2 linked regions of the Alligator mississippiensis genome follow. The protein of the gene in region 1 binds, or shares a complex with, the protein of each later gene. Links are inferred from orthologs where the notes say so. Each region holds a gene or a part of one and is shown on either strand. Other genes may lie near its edges. The genes, in order: APLNR and APLN.

The links.
Region 2: the proteins of APLNR (region 1) and APLN are in contact, whole or in part, in a cryo-EM structure (PDB 8XZG), measured with the Homo sapiens proteins. The link is inferred for Alligator mississippiensis from reciprocal best matches to the Homo sapiens genes APLNR and APLN. Residues at the interface, in NP_005152.1 of Homo sapiens: Tyr35, Phe78, Trp85, Tyr88, Thr89, Tyr93, Ser106, Ile109, Phe110, Met113, Pro163, Val164, Arg168, Gln180, Cys181, Tyr182, Met183, Tyr185, Glu194, Glu198, Leu201, Gly202, Ser205, Tyr264, Lys268, Tyr271, Ser275, Cys281, Asp284, Leu285; in NP_059109.3 of Homo sapiens: Arg66, Pro67, Arg68, Leu69, Ser70, His71, Lys72, Gly73, Pro74, Met75, Pro76, Phe77.

Annotation. Positions count from the first base shown.
Region 1 is NC_081825.1:172,970,969-172,974,874, forward strand, and holds the start of APLNR (apelin receptor), read left to right. Parts: upstream 1-1,095; 5' UTR 1,096-1,415; coding exon 1,416-2,504; intron 2,505-3,906. UniProt on the Homo sapiens protein: G protein-coupled receptor for peptide hormones apelin (APLN) and apelin receptor early endogenous ligand (APELA/ELA), that plays a role in the regulation of normal cardiovascular function and fluid homeostasis.
Region 2 is NC_081831.1:39,783,099-39,787,004, forward strand, and holds the start of APLN (apelin), read right to left. Parts: upstream 2,799-3,906; 5' UTR 2,698-2,798; coding exon 2,631-2,697; intron 1-2,630. UniProt on the Homo sapiens protein: Peptide hormone that functions as endogenous ligand for the G-protein-coupled apelin receptor (APLNR/APJ), that plays a role in cadiovascular homeostasis. Functions as a balanced agonist activating both G(i) protein pathway and beta-arrestin pathway of APLNR.

The sequences.
Region 1 (3,906 bases):
AATTTCTGTTACCAACAGCACACAAAGGAGTGATGCGGATGGCATCATGTACGGCTGCATGTAACAGCCTAGCCTCAATGACCCAGTCCCCATTACTGTTGGCTTAATAAAGTGCAATCACTAGTACTAGCCCAGACTGTTATGAATTTAGACTACTGCTGAGTCATCCTAACCACTGTGGGTGACAGCCTCAATTTTTAAGCATCTTTTTTGAAGTATGGCTCCTAGACTTCAACACTGTAACTCCTGTAAGGATTTTACCAGCACTTTTGAACTTATCTGTTGCGTGTGGTCACAGGAATAAATAAAAGTAAAATAGTGGGGACACATGGGAATGTGAGTAGGTCCTGCCTAGGCTGAACTTTGGAATTACATGAGGAGACATTCACCCAGGACAGTGTGGCTAATGTGGCACAAACTGTAGTGCAAATAGATATATATCTCACCTACACTGTAATAACAGCCAGGCTCAGAGACCTAGTATTATGGGAAAACATGGAGAGGAAAAAGGTTGCACTGCAGATAGGAGCACGCTATGCACTAGGAGTCCTGTCCAGTGCATGTTCAGTAACGTGGTAGAGACATTATTAGAAACAAGTCCCCTGGTGGATCCAGAGGGCACTGAGTACCACTGCATTAGGACATGATCTTAGATCTCACAGAGATGGGACTAACCAGGGCTGATGTATTTGCTTTGACAGTATCCCTTTCCTGCCAATAAAACCCCTGAAACCAAACACTGGAAATGGCAGAAGGAGGCTGAGGGACAGACAAACAGGGCTGACTTACTTAGTGGGGTTGCTAAGGGTATCTGTGAAATTTCACACTGAGCACTAGCTCCCCCCTTCCCCCCAGCAGCTCCAGCTGGCTTCAATCCTCATTCTTACCCTAGCCCCCAGGGAGCTGGGACAGAGGGATAGGAGGTGGACATTTGTGGATGCAAGTAGCAGACTGAGCTGCCCTATGCTGCCCTGCACTGCTGGAGTCTGTTTGTCTACTTGACATAAGGATGTGGTGTGAGAGGCAAAGGGGAGGGACAGGGTGGGGTGGGAGGGGAGGGGAGAGTGAAGGGGAGGTTGTAACTAAAGATCCTAAAGCACAAGCCTGTGGACTGAATGGTAAAAGGAAGGAACAGCTGCCTCTGAGCTTGCATGTGAGAGAAGGCAGGAAAGGATCTGGCCACAACTGTCTGAGGCTTTGCAAGCGAGGGAAAAAAGAAGAAAAGAAAGAAGGAATGAGCTGAGCACGGAGGACTCAAACTCACCCCCCACTCCCCCATACCCAACTTGGACAGCAAAGAAGGGACTGCAAACGTGGTGAGGCTACATCCCAAGAGCCTCTATCCAGAGAGGGAGCAGGCTGAAGAAGATACCTTCTAGCATCCTTCTCCGATCCCTGGAGTCAGGACCCTGAGCATGGAGGACCTGGGGTATGACGACAGCAGTTATTTTGACAACCAGACTAGTGACTGTGAGTACACAGAGTGGAGTCCATCCTTGACCCTCATTCCCACCATTTACCTGCTGGTCTTCCTTCTGGGCACCTCAGGCAATGGATTGGTGCTGTGGACCATCTTTCGGGGGGGCCGCGAGAAGCGGCGCTCAGCCGACACCTTCATTGCCAACCTAGCCATGGCTGACCTGACCTTTGTAGCCACACTGCCATTGTGGGCTGCCTACACCTGCCTGAATTATCACTGGCCCTTTGGCACCTTCGCTTGCAAACTTAGCAGCTATCTGGTCTTTGTCAACATGTACGCCAGCGTCTTTTGCCTAACAGGACTCAGCTTTGACCGCTATTTGGCTATTGTACGGCCAATGGCTAGCACCAAACTGAGATCACGGGCCAGTGGGCTGGTGGCCACCATCACCTTGTGGGTCTTGGCGGCTATGTTGGCCCTGCCTGCCTTGATCCTCCGTGAGGCAGCCATGCTACGTGGGGAGGACAAGATCACTTGCTACATGGACTACTCAAGTATGGTGGCCAATGGGACTGAGGGGGCATGGGAGGTGGGGCTGGGCCTGTCCTCCACACTGCTGGGCTTTGTCATTCCTTTTGCTGTCATGCTGACCTGCTACTTCTTCATTGCACGCACCATTGCTGGACACTTTCGGAAGGAACGCAATGAGGGGCTACAAAAGAGGAAGAGGCTGCTGACCATCATCATTGTGCTGGTGGTCACTTTTGCTGTCTGCTGGTTGCCCTACCACCTTGTGAAGACTATATATGTGCTGATGGACCTGGAGGTGATGCCCTGGTCCTGCAGTTTCCACACCTTCCTCAACAACTTCCACCCTTACTGCACCTGCGTGGCCTACATCAACAGCTGCCTGAATCCCTTCCTCTATGCCTTCTTTGACCCCCGCTTCCGGCAGGCTTGCACCACTGTCCTGGGCTGCAGCCAGGGCCGCTGGTCAGGCTCTGGTGGGGATAAATCAGCCAGCTACTCCTCTGGCCACAGCCAGAACCTTCCAGGGAAGGGTGGGGAGACACAGAGAGAGAAGGTGAGCCCAGACACTCATGATACGCTGGTTCGGGGCTAAGAGTAAGCCTGCTACCAGGGACAAGTAGAGCCAGACCCATCTTTTTCTCCTCATTCTCCCTTCCCACCTTCTGTTCTTCACTCTCACTCCATCTCAGCTTCTTTCATTTGTCCTTCACCTTCCCTTTCATGAATTCTCCTCCTCTTTCCCAGGTTTTCCTCTTCATTTCTCTCCTCTCTCTCTTCCTCCATCTTTCTCTCTCTTTCTCCCATTCTCCCTGTCTTCCTCTGTTGCAGGGCTGGTATGGATAAAGTTCCATAGTCATGCTGAATCTCTCTTTGACCTAGCTTATAGCTAGGGACAGAGGTTAGCTGAGGTGAAGCCCTCTCTCCCTGCTCTGGAGAGGTTTCAGCATGATTTGCTGTCTGTTTCTCATTGCTTTTGGGGCATGGGTGGGGAGGCTGGAGGATACCCCATATCATCCAGCTCCGGTCTACCTCTTTCTCTAGAGTCTAGACCTTGCTTTTGCAACCCCTGCTGTGCTCTGAGGCTGAACAGAATGGTTAGTGCTGCTGCCTCTCCTGAAAGCCTTGCTCCTGGCCCTCTGGAAATTCATTGTACCTTTTGAGGTTGGATGGAGGAAGACGTGGGGCTGCAGTCCCTTCTTTCACCCCCCCGTAACTGTCTGCCTTCTTTCTCAATTTAGCAGCAGGAAGTAAAGGTCTGAGAAGCCTTGAGCGAAGAACTGGCCCTGTGGTTGTGTGTTGGGAGGAGTAGATAGAAAAGCCTCCCCCCTTCCCCTAAGTGGAGTCTGATGAGGTGACCCTTGCACCCCATACCCTCTCATATGGATGGCAGGGGCACTTTTGGAAATGTGTATCATATACCCCTTTACTTTGTAACCTGCCCCCAGTAGCTCTTGCCATCAGTAGGTCTCAATGTTCTTTACAAAAAACAGTAACATTGCCTGGTAGCAGACAGGCAAACTGAGGTGCGGGGGGAGGCAAAATGACATCACCAAGTTCATGCAGCTGTTCATTAGTGCATACAGGATGAGACCTCAGCTCTACCCACTAGGGACTAGGCTACACTGTCAGCCTCTTGCCATACCCTAGGGCCAGTGGGCTACAGGAGGAGCTTTGACTGTGTGTCTCGCTGCATGCATCAAGAAAGGGCCGGGGGCAGGCATTGACTGGAGAGGAGCCAGGAGCCCCAAAAGTATGGGGCTTGAAGTCTGTCATGGCACCAGGACTGTTTGGACCTCTATATGCTGCCTGTATTCTCTGTGCCAGAGCAAGGCCCAGGAGAGTCAGAGGGGTTGGGGGAGGAAGGGGAGCATCCAATCCATGAGACTGTGGATGGGTGGACTGTGGGAGTATATTCTCTGAGCTTCCCAGCATGTGGGGAACAGAGAAGCATCTTG
Region 2 (3,906 bases), on another chromosome or scaffold:
TCTGCTGGAAGCATCAGACACACGGCACCAGTTCTACATCCACTCTGTTGCTGGGATCCTCTAGCACTCAGAGGCAGCTAAGGCAGGCTACTTTGGGGCATGTCATGACTTACCGCCCACCCCGCTCCCCAGCCTTAACCCTACTTTCTCCTTTATGGCTGGATGGTTTGCAGGGGAGGAAGGGGAGGGGCGGGGGAAGGGGTCCTGGAGCTGTAGCCCTGGAGTCCTGGTCTTCTGTTCTGCAAAAGACTATGACCCCCACATCAAAGCATTTAGGAAGGCACCCCAGCACCATAGCCACCAGCCTGCTTAGCAAAGCCTTGCTGTCACTATATGGTACAGCATGGACACTACAAAGAGCTGTTCTTGGAAGGACAGGACTCTGGCACTCAGAGCTGGGACTGGGGCAGAGTAGAAAAACGCAGTCTCAAAGCACCTCCCTGGCAAAATTAAGAGTGGGAACAATCTTTTAATCTTTGTTAGCAACACAATCATCTCCAATGTGTGTAGTGGGGGAAATGCCTTCTCCTAAGAGACAAGGGAAGTCCAGGCTAGTCTCTGGGAACAGAGAACTGGACAGCAGGAGGCCTGAAGCAGGCATTTGCATGAGCTGCTTTCCCTGCAATTCCTGCAAGTAGGTGCTGTCCAAGGCTAATTTAGCTGCATGCAATACTAACAACCATTTTGGTTTCACTCACGAGGGTCTTTTGTATAGAGCAGCAACAGTATCCCTCAGAATCTTCTCCTGAAACAAGGAGGAAAGAAAAGTCCCTCCCAGCACTTACTGCCCATCAGGCAGAAGCAGTATGGAAAGATGTTCCTCATGGGGTATTTTCAGAAGTCAACCACCCTACAGCTGTGGGTTGATTCCAACCTCCCACCCCAGCAGATGGAGGCTTTGGTTCCGCAGTGTGCCCAGTTCTCCCTTGGGCTGGGCTACCATGCATGCATTCTGGCTGCTCCGGTTCACTCAGAACCTTCACCATGCTGTACGCATCAGCAACAGCCTTTCCTCTTGGACTCTCTGCCCTCTCCATAACCCCATCCTTCCATGGGACAGCTAAGGGCATTCACCTGTTGTCCACTTGCTTCACTCTCCCTTGATGCTGTATGGTCCCTAGCACTTAGTTAGGTTACATGGCAGTAGTGCCAAGAGGCCTGTCAGGTCATCATCCCAGGCACTGCTCATAGTGGATGACAGTCTCTTTCCCAGACAGCTTAACTCTTGTCCTTTTGACCAGAACAGGTGGCTGAGACATACAAGGCAAGCATGGAGTGTGGCAGGCGAGTGGATGTTCAGCTGGGCAGGGCCTTTACAAGGTTGGGCTGTACACATTACACATCCATGCTTAGGGAAGCTACTACCCTAATGCTGCCTACTTTTCTGCTCTAGAGACGCAGATGTCCCTCTGCTTGACTGGCACTATGGCAGCTTCCTCCAGGCTCAACATTAGTTAAACTACAGGTGCTTGAAGCATCTTAGTGGCTGAATAGAGCTGGTACTCCTTGCTTCTACTCCAGGCATTTCCCAGGTGCCCCCTCCACTGTTCTGGTAGGTTGGGGGAATAAGGGGAAATGGAAGTAGAAGGCATCAGACTGCACTGGAAGGCTGGCTTAAAACTTAGGGGGCAACATTACTGAATGAGTCCCAGATAGCCTCTGTGACCCACCTTCAGCCTGGGGCCAGAAAGCCAGAAGCTACAGGATCCCAGCTACTCAGGCAATCCTGGCAGTACCTGGCAAGTGGCAGCTGCCAGCAGACACAATTGAGTGGGAGCCAGTTTAACAACTAGTGTCACCAGGCTGACAGTGAGCACAGCACCCCTTACTACAGACCAGACTCAACTGGGACCTGTAGGTGATTGCCTGGTGTGGTGACTGTCCGTCTCAGGAGTGAGCCAAGCCCCAAGCTGTGCCTATAAGAGACTGGCCTTGACTGCAAGTCACTGTGGGCAGCAGCTCTGTCAGGGGGACCCCTAACACTCAGGATCAGGTGTGCGTCTCCCCATCTCCCCTCCCTGGCTCAAGAGCACCAAACAGCATGTCTCCAGTGGACTACCCCATGCCTTCAAGGTAGGTCTCCAAGGGGCTACAGGGTCCCTTTAACCCTCTGCCTCCAGGGGCTGGTTTCACCCCCCGCATAGGTGCGAGCTCCGGGCACCTCCAGGCAGCACGTGCCCGTGCCCCCGCGCCCGAGCACCAGCCCCAGTGCCTGGCCCCCCCAAGGGCTGCCTCAAGCCTGCGCTGTCGGGCGGCTCGGGGCTGGACTAGCTCCGGAGCTGCAGGCTGCTCGGAGCCCGCCTGCGGGGTCAGGGCGCCGGGGCCGGGGCCGGGGCTCCGCAACAGGTTCCCGCCGCAGGGCCCGGACCGCCGGCTGCGCCGGGCCCGCAGCCCCCGCCCCCGCCCCGCCCCGCCCCTTCCCCGCGCGGTGCCAGCGGCCCCGGGTGTCCCGCCGTCCTTCAGGCCGGGCCCCGCGCCAGGACAGGCCTGCGGCGGCAAGGCTGGGCCGAGAGAGCGGGGCGGGGCGGGGCGGGGCGGGGCGGCGGCTCCGCTACCTGACGCAGGTGTCCCGGGCCGCCGCCCGCTGCGCAACAAGTGCCCGGCGGGCGGGGGCCCCGGCGGCGACTCACCTCCGCAGCCCGCGCTGACGGCGAGCCAGAGCAGCAGCAGCGCCAGCAGCCAGCGCCGCATGCCCATGGTCCGCCTGCACCGCTCGGGCTGCCGCTGCCTGCGCGTCGGCGCGGTGTGGGCAGGAGCCGGGCCGGGTCCGCCAGGCGGCTGCTGCGGGAGCGACTGCGCCCGCTCGCGCGGGGGGCTGCATTTGTAGGAGCCGCGCGGCCTGGCTCCCGGCCCGCCCGGTCATGTGGCCGTGGCCGGGGCGCCTCCCCCGCGGGACGGGCGCGGGGATGGCGCTCAGCCCGCCCCCGCCCCGCGCAGGGCTCCCCCCACGGCCCCCGGCGCCGCAGGGGTGTCGCGCACATACGGGCAGGGGCTGGGCCCCGGGGCCACCTCAGCTACAGCAGCAGCGGCCCGCGGGGGCGGCCACCGCCGGGAAGGCGGAGATGAGCCCCGATGCCTGCTGGGCAGGGGTGCCTGGTGGGGTGCAACAGAGAGAAGGAAGGAAAGCCCTCGGCCCTTCAGGTCTCACTCACGGTCAGTCAAAGAGAGGCAGAGGTCATCTACTCCACACCCCTGTCTCAGGCAGCAGCATCCCAGGGTGACCCTACTGGGCCTGCTCAGATCATACAAACAGCATTTGCCCTCCAAGATCCCCATGTGTTCAGCAGTGCAGGTGAGGGCCTAGGGCCAGGGGATAAGCCTTGACAGGCTGGATCCTCTTTTGCCTGACTGCTCAGTGCCTTTGTTTTCTGTACATAGCAGGTATAACGGCTGGGGTGAGGAATGTGGCACACTTTCACCCATGAAGAGGCGCAAGAGAGTTACAGAGGACACCCACATCCCTGCAGATGCCACATGCAAAGCCAGCCATCTGGATGACAAGAGCCTGAAACGGAGAGCTTCCTCTCTGTTCTTGAAAATGGGAGTGAGTGTCTCATCAGACTCCGTGAGACCACTTGTCCTCACTTCTAAATCCCCATTTCTCCAGGACCCAAGTAGGTGACAGACATTTGTGGCTCTGTTCACAGCACCTCTGAAAGGTAGGATTCCTTATGCCGCCTCTCTGGTATCACACAAGAAGTTTGTCTCAGAGCTCAGAATTGAACGTAGATGTCTAGAGACCTAGTTTCATGCGTTACCCATAAGCCCAGGCTTTTTCAGAGGGCATCACACTGATTGATACAAACACTAGAATGGCAGATCCCCAAATGCTTAGATGTATGCAGGACTATCCTTTATCTGAAAATCTGTAATGAAAGTTTGTTATTTGTCATTCATTAGTGTTTA